Styela clava: one gene and its partner. The protein of the gene in region 1 interacts with the protein of each later gene in a biochemical or structural test. Links are inferred from orthologs where the notes say so. Each region holds a gene or a part of one and is shown in the gene's direction. Other genes may lie near its edges.

Evidence for each region.
Region 2: the proteins of ran-binding protein 3-like (region 1) and regulator of chromosome condensation-like form a complex in vitro, tested with the Homo sapiens proteins (2 studies listed by BioGRID). The link is inferred for Styela clava from reciprocal best matches to the Homo sapiens genes RANBP3 and RCC1.

What each region holds. Positions count from the first base shown.
Region 1 is NC_135260.1:20,225,594-20,234,445, forward strand, and holds the start of ran-binding protein 3-like, read left to right. Parts: upstream 1-5,403; 5' UTR 5,404-5,453; coding exon 5,454-5,514; intron 5,515-6,176; coding exon 6,177-6,359; intron 6,360-6,575; coding exon 6,576-6,686; intron 6,687-8,852. UniProt on the Homo sapiens protein: Acts as a cofactor for XPO1/CRM1-mediated nuclear export, perhaps as export complex scaffolding protein. Bound to XPO1/CRM1, stabilizes the XPO1/CRM1-cargo interaction. In the absence of Ran-bound GTP prevents binding of XPO1/CRM1 to the nuclear pore complex.
Region 2 is NC_135257.1:1,501,515-1,510,747, forward strand, and holds the start of regulator of chromosome condensation-like, read left to right. Parts: upstream 1-4,992; 5' UTR 4,993-5,035; coding exon 5,036-5,111; intron 5,112-5,317; coding exon 5,318-5,410; intron 5,411-5,727; coding exon 5,728-5,924; intron 5,925-6,180; coding exon 6,181-6,369; intron 6,370-6,633; coding exon 6,634-6,771; intron 6,772-7,176; coding exon 7,177-7,261; intron 7,262-8,632; coding exon 8,633-8,794; intron 8,795-9,164; coding exon 9,165-9,233. UniProt on the Homo sapiens protein: Guanine-nucleotide releasing factor that promotes the exchange of Ran-bound GDP by GTP, and thereby plays an important role in RAN-mediated functions in nuclear import and mitosis.

The sequences.
Region 1 (8,852 bases):
AAAATACAATTATCGGGAAATATGATTATCGTTAGACATAGATAGATTCCGGTTTTATTTTAAAGTCTTTCCCCCCGGTAGAATTTTTTTATTTTTCAATATGTGAAAGATAATTCACTATATAATATAGTAAGCAAATTTCGTGATGTACAAACAAATAGAAAAGTTTCAATTCCTTGTTGCATTTTGTCATAAAATACCATTATCGGGAAATATGATTATCGTTAGACATAGGTAGATTCCGGTTTTATTTGAAAGTCTTTCCCCCCGGTAGAATTTTTTCAATATTTGATATTTGTAAGATAATTCATTATATAATATAATAAGAAAATTTCGTGATGTACAAACAAATAGAAAAGTTTCAATTCCTTGTTGCATTTTGTCATAAAATACCATTATCGGGAAATATGATTATCGTTAGACATAGGTAGATTCCGGTTTTATTTTAAAGTCTTTCCCCTCGGTAGAATTTTTTCGTTTTTCAGTATTTATAAGATGAGTCACTATTCTATATAATAGGCAAATTTCGTGATGTACAAATTGATAGAAAAGTTTCAATTCCTTGTTGCATTTTGTCATAAAATACCATTATCGGGAATTATGATTATCGTTAGACATAGGTAGATTCCGGTTTTATTTTAAAGTCTTTCCCCCCGGTAAAATTTTTTTATTTTTCAGTATTTATAAGATGAGTTACTATTTCATATAATAGGGAAATTTCGTGATGTACAAATTGATAGAAAAGATTCAATTCCTTGTTGCATTTTGTAATAAAATACCATTGTCGGGAAATAGAATTATCGTTGGACATAAGTAGATTTCGGTTTTATTTGAAAGTCTTTCCCCCCGGTAAAATTTTTTTATTTTTCAGTATTTATAAGATGATTCACTATTTTATATAATAGGCAAATTTCGTGATGTACAAATTGATAGAAAAGTTTCAATTCCTTGTTGCATTTTGTCATAAAATACCATTATCGGGAATTGTGATTATCGTTAGACATAGGTAGATTCCGGTTTTATTTTAAAGTCTTTCCCCCCGGTAGAATTTTTTCAATATTTGATATTTGTAAGATAATTCATTATATAATATAATAAGCAAATTTGGTGATGTACAAACAAATAGAAAAGTTTCAATTCCTTGTTACATTTTGTCATAAAATACAATTATCGGGAAATATGATTATCGTTAGACATAGATAGATTCCGGTTTTATTTTAAAGTCTTTCCCCCCGGTAGAATTTTTTTATTTTCCAATATGTGAAAGATAATTCACTATATAATATACTAAGCAAATTTCGTGATGTACAAACAAATAGAAAAGTTTCAATTCCTTGTTGCATTTTGTCATAAAATACCATTATCGGGAAATATGATTATCGTTAGACATAGGTAGATTCCGGTTTTATTTGAAAGTCTTTCCCCCCAGTAGAATTTTTTCAATATTTGATATTTGTAAGATAATTCATTATATAATATAATAAGAAAATTTCGTGATGTACAAACAAATAGAAAAGTTTCAATTCCTTGTTGCATTTTGTCATAAAATACCATTATCGGGAAATATGATTATCGTTAGACATAGGTAGATTCCGGTTTTATTTTAAAGTCTTTCCCCTCGGTAGAATTTTTTCGTTTTTCAGTTTTTATAAGATGAGTCACTATTCTATATAATAGGCAAATTTCGTGATGTACAAATTGATAGAAAAGTTTCAATTCCTTGTTGCATTTTGTCATAAAATACCATTATCGGGAATTATGATTATCGTTAGACATAGGTAGATTCCGGTTTTATTTTAAAGTCTTTCCCCCCGGTAGAATTTTTTTTATTTTTCAGTATTTATAAGATGAGTTACTATTTCATATAATAGGGAAATTTCGTGATGTACAAATTGATAGAAAAGATTCAATTCCTTGTTGCATTTTGTAATAAAATACCATTGTCGGGAAATAGAATTATCGTTGGACATAAGTAGATTTCGGTTTTATTTGAAAGTCTTTCCCCCCGGTAAAATTTTTTTATTTTTCAGTATTTATAAGATGATTCACTATTTTATATAATAGGCAAATTTCGTGATGTACAAAGTGATAGAAAAGTTTCAATTCCTTGTTGCATTTTGTCATAAAATACCATTATCGGGAATTGTGATTATCGTTAGACATAGGTAGATTCCGGTTTTATTTTAAAGTCTTTCCCCCCGGTAGAATTTTTTCAATATTTGATATTTGTAAGATAATTCATTATATAATATAATAAGCAAATTTGGTGATGTACAAACAAATAGAAAAGTTTCAATTCCTTGTTACATTTTGTCATAAAATACAATTATCGGGAAATATGATTATCGTTAGACATAGATAGATTCCGGTTTTATTTTAAAGTCTTTCCCCCCGGTAGAATTTTTTTATTTTTTAATATGTGAAAGATAATTCACTATATAATATAGTAAGCAAATTTCGTGATGTACAAACAAATAGAAAAGTTTCAATTCCTTGTTGCATTTTGTCATAAAATACCATTATCGGGAAATATGATTATCGTTAGACATAGGTAGATTCCGGTTTTATTTTAAAGTCTTTCCCCCCGGTAGAATTTTTTCAATATTTGATATTTGTAAGATAATTCATTATATAATATAATAAGCAAATTTGGTGATGTACAAACAAATAGAAAAGTTTCAATTCCTTGTTACATTTTGTCATAAAATACAATTATCGGGAAATATGATTATCGTTAGACATAGATAGATTCCGGTTTTATTTTAAAGTCTTTCCCCCAGGTAAATTTTTTTTATTTTTTAGTATTTGTAAGATAATTCACTATATAATATATTAAACAAATGTCGTGATGTACAAATTAATAGAAAAGTTTCAATTCTCTGTTGCATTTTGTCATAAAATACCATTGTCGGGAAATAGAATTATCTTTATACATAGGTACATACTTTTTTTATTTTAAAGTCTTTCCCCCCGGTAGAATTTTTAAATTTTTCGTTATTTGTTGGATAATTGGATATATAATGTAATAAGTCGATTTCATGGCGTACAAAGTATTAGAAGTGCCGAAATCAGACTTCAAAGCCATCGAGACAATGTAACCCTTTGGGTAAATGTTACTTAATTTGCTTTTGAATTTGCTTGTTCAATCTTTATTTTAAAAGATGTATTTGTGCAAATCAGATTCGATTTGTTCATATCTCATTCTTATTGATGGAAATGAATAGGTTTGGTATTTCGCTTAGATATAATTTTTTTTTGTTGTGAAACCTTCCTGTGAATTCATGCTTGTCCACCTATATATCTGGCAACAGTGATTGGAGATATCATTGTTCAGCTGATTTCGATTTATTTTCCCGGCAATTGTAGCTATTTTGTGCCATCATTTGCCGGACTTTGAGAGGTTCTGGCGCTGAGTTAAACATGGATATATGTAATTTAGTAATCTGTGAACGTTTAGGATGCCTTAACTTACGGTGAAACATTGTCAGAACGTCAGCCCACACTCGTGTGACGCTAGCCCACACTCGTAGGATGCCAGCCCACACTCGTGTGACGCTAGCCCACACTCGTGTGACGCTGGCCCACACTCGTTTTTGTCAGGCCATGCGAGGGGTAACTGGGCCGTGCTTGGTATTGTATTTGCGTTGTGTATATCAGATATGGTCTCTATATTGTCAGAGTCACCAAGTTTTTATGTAATTACGTTTATAAAGTCAGTAAAATAGTTGGTTAACCCCTTGACGTCAGGCTGAGTGTGGGCTGAGCGAGTGTGGGCTGGGGTAACTTTGGTCCATGCTGCCATGCATACGGTATACAGTAGTAATATTATCGGAATCAAATATCAAAATATACAGTAGGAGGTACCGTAATTCTCCGATTCCAAGATGTTTCGACATTTGGTTGAATATAACAAACACTCTGCGTCTGGCATGACAGCAGATGCGTCACATTGCACTATGCTTGTCTCGATATTAATTTAAATTAATTACAGTAATAGGTGCAAGCAGAACACTATCAAAGTCCCACACAAACTTTTGTCTTGTATAACTTATATCGTCTGCGGGGAGTGTGGCCCTGTTTAGTTGTTGATTGACATGGTTTTGACGTGCTCGTGCTATGTCAGTATGTGCAAACTACGGCCTACGGGCCAAATCCGGCCCGTTGGTGATTCAACCTGGCCCACCTGATGTTGCCATAAATTTCTGGTCATGAATTGTACACCAATAATAAGGCTTTCAAATCAAAATTTACTTTATTCTCCCAAACAACTATTTAACAGTTGTTTTGCTCATTTCCCCACGCTAGTGACTATGAGGCACCCCAGCATGCTGTGAAAAAAAGCAAATTACTGAATGATCTCCATAACGAATTCTGCCAGACATTTGGAAGTTTTGAAAAGCTTCAAGTATTGTTTCAAATTGTTTTATCTCATTTTTAACAAGTCACTGCAACATCACACACAAAGACAACAATTAGAATTGATCGATATTCTATGTGACTATGTTTTAAGATACAAATTCAAATCCTTGAAGCTTAATGGCTTGAGAGATACATGTTTTGAAATATTCAAAAAATGGCCCAGAGAATATTGGTGATATTTGGCTCCAAGTACATTTGTGAACAGACCTTCAGTCTTGTGAATTTATACAATTATACCCCTCTCAAATCTGTTTTGACAATTGCCACAACCAAACTAAAACCAAATTTTAATGTTTTAGCTAGAAAAAAGCTCAAGGAATTTGTTGAGATTGCGATTTAATTTAGTTTTGCACGAGGCTTATTGTTTTCCACTTGTGCTCTTTCAAAACACTTCAAATGAATTCCTGTTCATAAATTATAACTTTATGTCACACTTATATGGCCCGCAGGTCTGGGGGGCCAATTTTTCTAGTCCCTAGTCTGAAAACCTTGCCCACACCCCTGGTCTATATGCTAAATTGCCAATGTCAATTGAAGTGATTACATAATTTAGTAATTATAATCAAAGTATTCATACTGCATAAAGTCTGCAAGTTTAAAAAATCTTTGTTTGACACTATTACAATTGACACAAAATTGAGAAAATGTCATATGGTCATTACCTTGTTCATGTCTCAATCCAGCAATCGTGTATTTTTTCGAAATAAACAAATTTGGAATAATTTTTTTGATCCAATTTTATTTTGTTGGCTGTTTCTTGACCAATCTTAGGACCAAAATTTGCAACAAGCTGGTCGGCCATTGGTTTATAATTGTTAAAATATTCCATCCATTCATGATGGTATGATATACCGTAGTTTACATTTTCCAAGTGTGCTTCAGGCTTTCAGGAAACTTGGCTCATCTAATAGTCCTCTGGGCTCTGATATAGTGATTATAGTAATCGCATTAACCTAGTCCAGTCATACTATATGTATTCGTGGTCTAAATACTGTTTTCTTTTTTCATGTCATTGTAATTTTAGAGTAAATAGTATGGCCGATTCTTCCAATGTTGATCCAAGTAGTGGAATTCCAAATAGTGGAAGCACTCCAGGTCAGTAAATTAGGCTTTGGAATTTTTTTGGAAATTCAGTTATTATTTTAGGACATTTATTAATTTGAAATACCGGTATGCATATTAGTGGTGATGAACGAAATAAAATATTCAGATTGGAAATTCCCACAATTTTATCTGATGTATAATAAATACTAAATGCCTTTTATCCATAGGCCTACTATTTTTAATCAAAGGTCAAAACTCATTTTCAAATCATCAAGTCATTTTACCTCCTAATCTTGGCTTATGAAATTGGTTCGTAAGATGCAATATAACGGTATCAAACGCACATGCCACCGGCGCACCGCACTTCTGATTACCCTATATTGGTTTCATAGTTGGAATCCTATATGAGATATTTATATGTGAGATGATTACTGGTGAATAATATAACCACTGGTTAGTTACGGCTTCTTCCACTATCGGGTCCATGCGTCTGAAACAAACAACAGGTTAACTATTCTCATACCATACCCAGCATAGACTAGACTCTCAACCAGACAAGAGATTTCTAGACATTTAATTTAATGAAAAAATGAATTCATGATAGTTCAAGCTGCAAAGTTTTAGTGTTTCCAAACTTATTCACAACCAAATTTTTTTTAAAGTATGGTTCGGGGTTATTCCCATAAAATATTTTGTATTACTTTATATTTTAGGTGAAAATGGTGGAGGCTTCTGCTCTGGAAAAGAATCAAATAGAGTAATGAAACGTCAACGAGATGAGGAGGATGATGTTAGGGATAGTCCTGATGATTCCGAGCCTGAAGAGAAACGCGGCAGTTTTCGATTAAATCCTCCAACCTTGATTCATGGACAAGCAAAACCTGCACCGAAAGAAGGTTTGCAAAATAAGCTTTCAAGCTTTAATAAATATATCTGTAATTCTGCTTATCAAAAAAGTTATATTAAAATACATCTTTAAATCATTGGCTTTACATGCTACATAAATATTTCACATACCGGTATGTCCTATCTATCTACCTGGATTTATGAAGTGTAGTTTTAGAATCATTAATGCTTTATTTCGAAATTAATTAATTTTCATCTGTATTCAGAGGGGGCACAAGAAGCTAGTCAGAAAAGAAATTTTCTTCGGCCCTCTATTCTTAGTGCACCAGCTGCTCCGTCTCAATCTGTGTCTGCACAATCTTCTGCAGCATCGGAACGTAAGTAAATTCATGAATTTACTTCAGAGTCATTTTACTTTAGCTATATTTCACTGAAGAAATTTTCTCAATATTTTAGAAATTTTCATAAATTTGTTCCCCTATGAGATGTTCAATGAATGATATGCAAGATAGTGGAAAGTCAGAAAATGACTAGCTCTTGATTAAGTCTCTTGATTAAATTGCAATATATACATCACCACCACTTTACTCCTATGTAGTGGGAACCAGGTGTTTGCAAATGAATTTAAAATTTGTTTGTTAAATTGGGCATTAAGTGTCATCACTTTAATTTGAATTACAATTGTATCTTAACCTCTAAAAATAGTTGTTCCTCACATTATAGACCTTTGGCACTTTAATAACAAAGTATTCTTGAACTCCGAACCGTTTAATAATATAGTCGGCTTTCATGTAGTTTACGTGAGCTACAATACATTTTCTAATAACTCTTTAAATTCTATCTGTGTTTGACTATCTCTTAAGTCAGGGGTCACCAAACTACGGCCCGCAATAACACGCAAAAATGGCGAAATTTTTTTCCAAGGGAAATTTTCCCGAGCATTGTCTTCCTTATTTATTTGAAAATAGGGGCCAATCAGCGAGATGCAAATAAGTCAGTCATCATTTGCCTCCTTAAGAGTTGTAGTTTTAATAGTAGTACTGAAAAATTAGTCTAGAAATAGCTGTGACAAAATAGACTAAAATTATCTACCGGTGAAAAACATTTTTCGCGAAAGATGCACTCGTATACTTGTGGCGCGTGCTTTCGACGAAACTGTTTACGTTTCTTGTGCTGAAATGAACGTCGAATGTGCATGTTGCGCTAACAGTACTGTGATCCCTCGCATACTTCTGCAATTTCACAAGTCACACTAACTTTTGTACTGCCTAAATGCGGATATTCATGTGGGTATGTTACAAACAAATTAAAGTTCATCCGATTTAAATAAAAACTGCGCCAGTGGATAGATCTGAGTGAAAATAGGATGACAAGTTCATAAAAAACGGTCTGGAAACAACGAAGATATCGGAATTTCAGTACCGCCCGACATGCCAATTTTTTCCATAAGGATAGTATTACTTTTTAGATAATAACTATAATAAATATGAAAAAAGAACACATATCAATCTCTAACCTTTCGATCTGCGTCACATCTATGGAACAATGAGACTATTTCAGAATTTTATCGTCGCAAATAAACACTGGAGTTGTGCATGTTAGTTTGACAGTGGTTCATTGTGGGTAATAATTAAAGATGTTCTGATAGAACAAACTTCATAAAAATTGGTAAGTATCAAGATAGGAAGGAAATACACACGTTCACATAAATTTTATTGGTGTCCATAGACAATATCAAAATTTGCACTACGTATAACTTGAAATTTATGCGCTAATGAAACAAATCAAATACCAGATAATAGTTGTTTATTTTATCTAAATTATGTCAAAATTTCCAAGGTACCGCAGGCAGTCCGTAGTCATTAATATGAGCGGTATTCCAACGCGGCGTAACGGTACATAGCAGACGTGATGCCTACATATTTTTGGCGCGAAAAATTGGATTTTTTAACATTCCTAATTCATGACAGCAACGTTTTGCCAACAGCTAAACTCAGGATAGTTGAATAGATATAAAAATCTTGTATATTTTTCCTTTTACTAGGATTTTCTCGATATATTAAACCTTTATAAAGGTTTTTCCAGTTTCCCCAATTTTCCCAGTCTTCTGTGTGTTCATTGTTTATGTTTTGTGTATGATTTTTTTGCGGGGAAATAAAATCAAAATATATATACTTATATATTTATTATATTATATATACAGAATATATACTTATATATTCTGTCTTTAGAAATGAAGATTATATTTATTGTTGAATAAATTGAATGGATTTCCAAACATTTGTGAATTTATTGTATTGCATTGACAACAATATTTGTCCGGCCCGTTTCAACACAGTTTGAGTCAAACCCGGCCCGCGGTCAAAAAAGTTTGGTGACCCCTGTCTTAAGTGAAGGACCTAGAAATAAACTATTTTACTGTGCGCCAAAGTGAAAAATTGGCAGCTGTATGTTAATTTGAAAGTTTGGACACTTAGGATAGGATAGGATTTACATATTTATCCCGGGGGAGAGGAAAGCCGATAAGACGGCTTATCCATATG
Region 2 (9,233 bases), on another chromosome or scaffold:
ATATTTTGCCTTCTATACTTGTCCACACAACCTGCAAAAAAAAAATTTTTTATTGATAGAAGATGCCTAAATATATTCATATCGCTGGATTGAGATCTATTGTATAGTCTTGTTAAGATGGGGACATTGATAAAGATTGTCGTACTAGTTCTTTTCTAGATAATGATGAAGATTTTGCAACTAGAGACTCAAATGTGCACAGATTCAATTGATTCTTCCAGTATATTTCCAAATACCTAGTGGTTTCAGAATTGAATCTCGAATACTTGAAATATTGGTGATGGAATTACTAAAAACATACAATCATTCACTTAGAGTACAGTTGGTTGTGTGTTCACACAGAATAAGAAACCTGTGTCATAAATAAATCACTCGTATGTAAAACAAATATGCCTCAACGAAAAAATAGACGGACCTCGATCTTTGGTGAACGAAAAAAAAACATGGCGGCGATCCAAAATTTTCGTCTGGACCGATTCCAAAAATTCACTATTCGATTTAAAATGCCAAGCTCTGTTTGCAATCTTAAAAATTAAACGCATAGCAAGATTCATCATCAACATGATTTTCATTTTCTAGATCATACTTTGCTTTCACGCATGAACTTCAAGAAGGAGACAGGGTCGAAGACTAGTACGCCATTTTGTAGGATTCTCCTCTGTGTGCTTCTCCCCTGTAGAATCAGAATTACTTTTATTTCGTACAAAATCCAATCCATATCCTACTGCAAATACTTGTCTCATTCGACATACAAGAATTGCAATAAAATAACCGCAGGAGATTTTACAACGATTTACACCAATTTCATGAGCGATTGAAAATATTTTTTTCAAGCGACAAATGCATTCTATTTTCCAATGCTTTGTATAAATCAGAAGTCCGACTTTTTGTATTGAATACAACTTGGTCTGTTCTGCAAGTTAAGACTTTAAACTGTCATCAAAAAAGCTTTAAAATAGCGGATTGGGTAAGAGCAACTCCTAAAGTTGCGTGTAATATATAACCAGGGGAGTGACTAGGTGGTGACCAGAACGTTATGGGGCGAGGTTGTTGCTTAGTTTGATGATTAAAATAATGATAATACAAACATTCAACTCTTACTTGACCTTTGATTGATTCATTCTCATGTATACCACTGTATCTATAATTTGTTTATCCCTCTTATTATTTTTGAAGTTAGGTATAAGGGGAGAAACTCGCCCCGCGTAGCAGAAAAGTTTGACACGCCCCTGCATGTGAAGCAAGCCATTTTCTGTGGCGCATTCGTATTACAGCATGTATTTTTATCTAATGCCTTCAATACCTGTCCCAGTGAATGCAAGATACGAGACCCATTTCTTGATTTTCAATAAATTACGCAAATATTCTACAAAATTGAAAAATAGATAAAATATAATATTTTAAACTCTAAGCAGTGTGTGTGCTAAATGCATGTCTTGTTTCTTCAATTTAGTTGTTTAAATAAACATTTGTGGGCGATTCTCCATGAATTGTACGACCTCTTAGCAAAATAAAGAAAGTGAAATAGTTCCCGAAAATTGATATCGCCATCCCATAATTTCATGATGCTGTTTGTCAACAATTACCAAAGCAATGTAAAGCATTCAAGCATTGTTCCAGAACTATACTGTTTGTCTGTTAGACACTTTCGTATGTTACGCGATATCTCGCGAAAGCGAGGTTGAATCTGCTCTAAATTTTGCATGTGCATTCATCATATCTCGGACTAGAAGCCTATTTTGGATGAATTATGTTGCATAATTAGCGAATTATCAATTAATTAGTGATGTGACACACGGTGTCACTATGGAGTAAGAGCGAATGATGCAAAACCGCAGTTTCTGTTTTGGAGATCCCCTAACATTCGATCGATGGGCTTCGGTCTCCGACCGATATTCTCGTTTATATATTTGTTTCATTTTGTGACTCCTTCTGAGATAATCAGTATTGTTTTCCCCGTCTCTCATCACCATTTTGTTTTATTGTACATTGTGTAAGTCTATGTAGGCCTACTGAGCGTATCTTATATGCGGTTTAAAAATTTTAAAATTTGTAGCAAGGCTACGTCGGGGGACAAAAAGACATCTATACCTGAATTTAGGTAACGCAATCAAAAATTGACAAATAACCAACAAAACCACGAAAGCAATCCAACGTTTACTCCCAAGCTCCAGCGCCGAAGGCCTGTTTGGGTGGGAAAAGCTTTTCTGTGTGGCCGGTAATTTGAATTGGCACGCCACAATTGACATTTTGCTGATTAGTTAATGATAAAGAAGTAGACGAGTGAGTCGATGCTCAGAAAAAAACATCGATTCCTTAACCCGTAATGAATCCCTTATATTAAAAATATTGTTTTTTGGACATGTGGGTGACCTATGGAGGCGCAGTTCTTACCACTTCATGGCAGCTCTTGCCACGAGCGTACCCCGCTGTCTCCTGCCATGGTGTTGTGGCGCTATTACCGGTGTATTTACTAAGTCATGTACAATATTTTAGTTTATCATGCCAAATTATATCTACTTAAATCTAAACCTAACCCCAAATTCACCCAAACTGTATCCATAAGAAAAACGTTCCAACTTACCCAATATTTATCACCATCAGGGGCAGCCTTGCTATTACAGACACCTCAATGATTACAGCCGACATGCTGTGGTTACGGCAGCAAAATTGGCGGCATTCGATTTGCTGCCGTTACGACCATTGAGGTGATACACCCAAAGTGTAGTCACTTTGGATACACCTCAATGGTTACGACGGCAGCTCGCTGTTGGTTTGTGGCATTACACCTCAGTGGTTTGTGGCAGATAAAAAGTCAGTCGCCGTGGGTTTGGTCATAGCGGTTATGGTTGGGATATCTCGCCCATTGAGGTGTATATACCCACAATGATCTCGCCATGGTTTTGCGGCACTTCTAGACGCCACGAAATACTTGAAACTGCACTTGACCTATGGATCGTTTTCATGTTTTTGGTAATCTTGTTCTTGTTGGACTTCATCTTTGTATCGTTTTTTAAAAAATCGCTTCTCTCCTTTATTACTAAACCAATTGCTTTAAAATTTTTAAAGAGTAAAGATTATATTTTTAGCTAGAAGGCTTACTTTTATTTATCGTTTTTTTTGTGTGCTATAACGCCATCAAAATTTGCCCTTATGTGGCGTCACGTGTCCATATATTTGAGCATAGCTCTCTTGTTTTATTTTGTGCTAGATTCAGCCTCCAGAAATATTCATTTATATACCTTATTTATACAACTCAATGACCTATCCGTAGTAGTATATATTTACGCCTTATCATATCATAAGTCAAATGTGACAAAATATTTTTTTTCTCTGACGTCCGGACGTAAAGTCTTATTTTTTCTGCTGAAAATCTGTCAAAATGACATCGGTGTACCGGTATGAGATGTGCATTTTAATTGCGGGAATGTACCACTGCTGCACTGCGTGATTCGCGGGACGACGCTTGAGCGCCTGTGGTAATTATAGCACTTCTGAAGATAAGAGGCTCGAGAACAAACAATAATCAACAATAGAACCGGTGCGTAATACCCAGACTGGATTCCATGGCAGGTGCACGCCCGAGGGCGCTAGCGCTCCGCAAAAATGCTCGCGAGCGAAATCAATTTTGCACGCCGAAAATTTGCAATTGCTCACCAATGTAAATCGGTTTAAATGGTTTTAAAATCAATAATCCAGTAATATAAAGATGCCAAAATATTATACCTCCACAATTGTCGACAAATACCAGCTTGCAAGATTTGGTCTGATCGAAATATTGCGAAGCAAAAAGACCATGGAGTATGGACCTTTCCCCAACCTTTGACCCGCGAAAAATTCCTCTCATTGTTACATCCTTTTTTGCATCTTGCTGATTGGCCAATGTCACGAAGTAAACAAGGAAGTCGATGCTCGGGGAAAGGTCCATATCGTGTTGAATGATAGGAAATAGGAATCCCGTGAGAATAGTTATGGACGAAAAGATCGCCTCCGCACCAATGGCCAAGTACGGCTCTGATTCAGCGTATTTTTCATACAATAATTTTACACGAATGTACTGAACAGTACCGGTATCTAAAGTTGCTCAAACACTCCCAAAATTAGTGACAAAGTATGAAAATAATGTTTGGGGTCAAAGATCAAACGTCCATTTTGCTCTAATTTGACGTATTTTTTATCCATTAATTCTACGTAAAAACACTACCAAAATTAATGACAAAGTATGTCCATTTTGCTCTGGTTCAACGTATTTTTTATCCAATAATTTTACGCGGATGTACTGAACAGTACCGGTATCCAAAGTCGCACAAACACTCTCAAAATTAGCGACAAACTGTAGAAATAATGTTTGGGGTCAAAGGTCAAACGTCCATTTTTTCTCTGATTCAACGTATTTTTTATCCGATACCGGTAATTTTACGCGGATGTATTGAGAGGTATCTGATGTCAAAGTCAGTTGCACGCGAGTGCAGTTGTTTTGCACGTCGTGAGCTATAATTGCACGCCAGGAATTCTTATTTGCACGCGGGAATTTCTGATTGCACGCCCGATTTCTCGTTCAAAAAGGCCATGAAATCCAGACTGGCGTAATACTGATAAACCGTTCCAGCATTCCCGTCTCCAGATTGCATTTTACTAAGTAAATCCAATAGTATTCGCAATACCAGAATGCAGTAATACGACTTGCAGAATATTTTAAACTGTCGTAGTTAAGCTACGGTAGGTGTTAATCACTGACTTATGAAGGCAGTTTTTAATGGTCAGTTGACTGTTTATGGTAGCGACTGTGGTACCTATACGTCTGTACGTAGCCTACAACCTACGGTACTACATACCGTAATAACTCTAATTCTGGTGAGAATGAATCGGTACTTGTAGCTAAGTTAGACTATAGCCCAACTGTTTTTTAAAGTTCTAAAAGACAAAGTACCGTACTGCGCTGCCCAGGACAGTATTAAGCTTATCTTATAACGGGATATTATCAAACTTTAGATTGTTACCGGTAGACTATAACTGTAATTGTTTTGAAAAGAAAATGGTTCGCAAATTATCAACTAAAGATGTGGGTAAAACTGAAGAACCAAAGAAATCTCGAGGGAGACCAAGGAAAAGTGAGGCTATTTGTATTTTTTAACCAAGTCCTGAAGTTGAATTTTTTCTATGGCAAAAACCTATTTTCAGATTTTATTCTATAACCAGATAACAATTTTCAGATTTTTGAGAGAAAGTACTCAAAAATCACACCATAGTTTATTATGACTGTATGGTGGTACAGTAGGAACAATATTTTATTAAAATTTTTTGCAATTTTTACCAGTTTCTGCAGTTGAGAAAGGCTCAAACTCTGGGAAGCGTAAACTCAGTAAATCCGTTTCTGAGGAACCAAGAATAAAACAGAAGAAGATAGAAGGTAATAATATTTATTCCTATATATATATCACAGATAACATAGACCACATGCTGATATGAGATACTGGCTGTATTTGAATCGACACCTCTGTAGCCTATATAAAACTTTGATAAAATATATTGGTTACAAAAAAGTTTTAGGCATGAGTGAATGACTGGTCCTTTGAATTTTGCATCCATTAGATCACCAATTTTTATATGTGTAATAAATATAAGTTGGTAGAAATGCTCATATTTTTCATTCCACTTTTTTTTCAAAAGTACATTGTAGCAACAAAACGATATTTTGTAGTCTGACACTCTACTTTTGACTTTCAGTTCCCAATTTATTTGAATTGGCTTCTGTGGGAGTAGCTCTAACATTGGGACAAGGAGATACAGGCCAACTGGGACTAGGAGAAGATATAATGGAACGAAAAAAGCCTGCTTTGGTGAGAGGAGAACTTGATGGAAAAAAGATCAAGAAAATTATTGGCGGAGGAATGCACACTGTTTGTTTGACTGACGATCATAAGGTATAGCTAAAAATCATATATATATACCGTAACTCTGAAAGTCTGAATATGACTTGAAACTGAAGAAGGTTGTTGGACACTCCAGTTAAAAGTTATTTGCACCATGGTTGATCAGTTATTTCGAACTACCTTGCAATCTACCTTGCCTGAGTTAAATGAAAAATTCTATCCTCTGCTATTTTAATATTGTCGGTTTCTCACTCACATGTTATTTATATAATTTTGGACATTAACACCCATGGATTTATAATCGTAGGTTTACTCATTCGGTTGCAATGATGAGGGGGCATTAGGAAGATTAACATCTGACGATTCAGAAGGATTTGAACCTAAAATTGTCGGTGGAAGTTTAGAAGGAGTAAAAGTAATTGATATATCTGCTGGTGATAGTCACTGTGCTGCTTTATCAGAAGATGGAAATGTATTTTTATGGGGCTGTTTTCGAGTAAGTATAAAAAATTATTTTAATTTATTATTTTTAAACAAAGACAACTGCAGAACAAGCAGGTATTAGGTAGCCTATGTTATAGGATTCTGAAAACATATAGGACTCTGAAAACATAGACGCTAATTTTTGTTCGGTGCAAATTTAATTGGGCCCCAATTGTTCATAAAAATTAATGATCATGTCGAATCTTTTCAATCGAGTTTATAAATTTCTTGTGATTACAAGATTTAGGATGTTTCATTTTTGTTCAATTGTTTTCAGGATAATCACGGCAGACTGGGTTTAGCTAAGGAATGGGAAAAGTGTGGCGAGCCAATCAAATTAGACCAAATTCAAAATTGTGTTGTAGCAATTGCCTCTGGATGTGACCATGTTGCAATGATCACTGACGAGGGAAAGGTTTGTCATTTCAAATTTTCTCTAATATTCATTCAGTTGAACCTTTGTATCTTCAGAACTAAATCTGTTGAAAGCAAATTGAATTTTTTCAATTTATCTGGAAATCGTGGGTTCGTTTGTTTCACGAGTTGAGTATTTGCCAATGTACATCAATTAACTTTAACATTCTCTCGTTCAAACCCTAAGTGTAATGAATTAAGTAGGGCAATATTAAGTAAGGCAATGCCTAAGCAGCCTAATTTGATCTTGCACTGTGAAGTTATGTTACGTTATGTAGGCATTCAATTTTCATAGACAGCAAAAATATTATTTCTTTGCTTGTGTGCTTATTCATTAGAAAAAATGCATGCTACTTTTTTTGAGACATATTACCGGTTTTCAAACTAATATTACAATACTTCACAGGTATTTACATTAGGTTGTGGTGAGCAAGGACAACTTGGAAGATTGAGTAAATACGCATTAAGTAGAGGTGGAAGGAAAAGTGCAGGTAAGAATGAAGTGATACAATATGATAAATTAGTCATTGATTGCTAACAATCTTAGACCCAAGCACCCATATATAATCATCATCACCAAAATGCTCACTGTCATTATTGAGATAGCAAATATGACGGAATCTCTTCATGAATTAGTGTAATAGCAACTTTCATCTAGTCCACCGCAATCTCTATGAAGCCTTATTGTGACCCACCAGGGGAGGGGTCAGGACACCCAGTTTAAGAAACCAAATCTAGTCTTAAGTCTGTCAGACTCAAACAGAGGTTCCTCGTCCAAGTTACAAGTAGAGCTAGGAAAGCAGATTATTTACTTACCAAGTTCAATGTTCCAAATTGATGGTCATGGCAGACTTCTAGATAAATTTAATAATACAGAGAAGTGAGAGAACAGAATAATAATAATATTCTACAGATGAAGTCTCATCTTCTAGTACTACAGCAAATCCAGAAGTACCCATGCCAAGAAGCAGTTTGCGTGAAAGATTAAGTTTTGCAGGTATAATGCGGTTTTACAGTTGAGATGGTTTTATCTTTACAAAAGATTTGTCATAAAATGTGATTTGGATATCGACTTAGAAAATTACTATATGAGTTGAATGGTAGTTCATTAGAACAGTCTGAATCTGAATATTTTGCTTGAATGCAGAGCTAATGGTTATAAATCCCTTGGACAGCAAGATTCAGGTTTAAAGGATAGTTTCTGATTGATTTCTGTAGATTTAATACAAAGATAGTAATGAATTGATTTATTTTAGGGTGTGTTTATCAAACAGGATTGGTAATTGTATTACTGATACTTCAGTCAGATGGATAAAGACCGCCCGTGGGTTCGAATTATATAGACAATTGGGTTATATAGACAATTTGAATGCCTGATTAGCCTTGGCAAAAGCTTGTAATTGCTCATTGTTTGAGTGTGCCTAAGCTTAACCTACAGTAACTTATGATGAATGTCTATTTGAAAACTAAGCAATGCAATAGATTGAGAACGTGATTATCAGTTGGAGGGTCTTGTTTGTTTGATTTTCAAAAATGGGAAAATCAATTCCTGGTTTCTTGTTTGTTTGATTTTCAAAAAATGGGAAAATCAATTCCTGGTTTTGATTTTCTGGTATATTATATTATGATGTAACAAACTAACAATACTATGACTACTATTAGACTCAAATTCAACAGAATTCAAATAATGCATAATTCAAACAAGCAGGACTAATGTAATACCGATTCGACAACAGGCTGGGCTTGAGCTGTGTGGTCTGTTGGTTATCACCTTCTCTCATTTGGATTTTGAATTGAATCAAATTTTGAACGTTCTTTTGTATCATTTTATTTACGATATATATTATTCTCTCTTTTATAAGAAGAACGATGTCTACGTCCTAAACCTGTAACAGTGCCGAAAATAAAGGGGAAGTCAGGAAAACCAATGTTTTGTGAAGTTTATTGTGGATCATATTGTACATATATAGTTTCAACGGATGGAGATGTTTTTGGGTTCGGTCTTAATAATTATCATCAGTTAGGTAAGTTTAAGCATGCTTGCAATATTTGTAACTTTATATATGAGTAATTGTGTTTTCAAGCCTTAAAATTAATTTCAATGTTTAGAGTGAATAGATTTTGCAATATAATTATGTAGTCATGCCAAGTTGCAACTTTATAACAAATTATTTATGTTGAGTTATCTTCAAAAGATTTGTTACATGCATAGAGTATCTCTATTTTATCTTCCTGTAAATATCAGATTTTTCGACTTTCACTTGGCACCACTACTTAGCTGCTTAGATAAAGACTTAGAAGAACATTATTATGATTCTAAGACAATTATTAACTCCAAAGATTTCTACTCCTGATCTGAATTTTAATTAATAATTGTAATTTTTTTTATATCAGGTATACCAGATGGAGAAAGCAGGTATATGCCAGTTTACATTCCCACATTTTCTGAAAAGAAATGGAGAT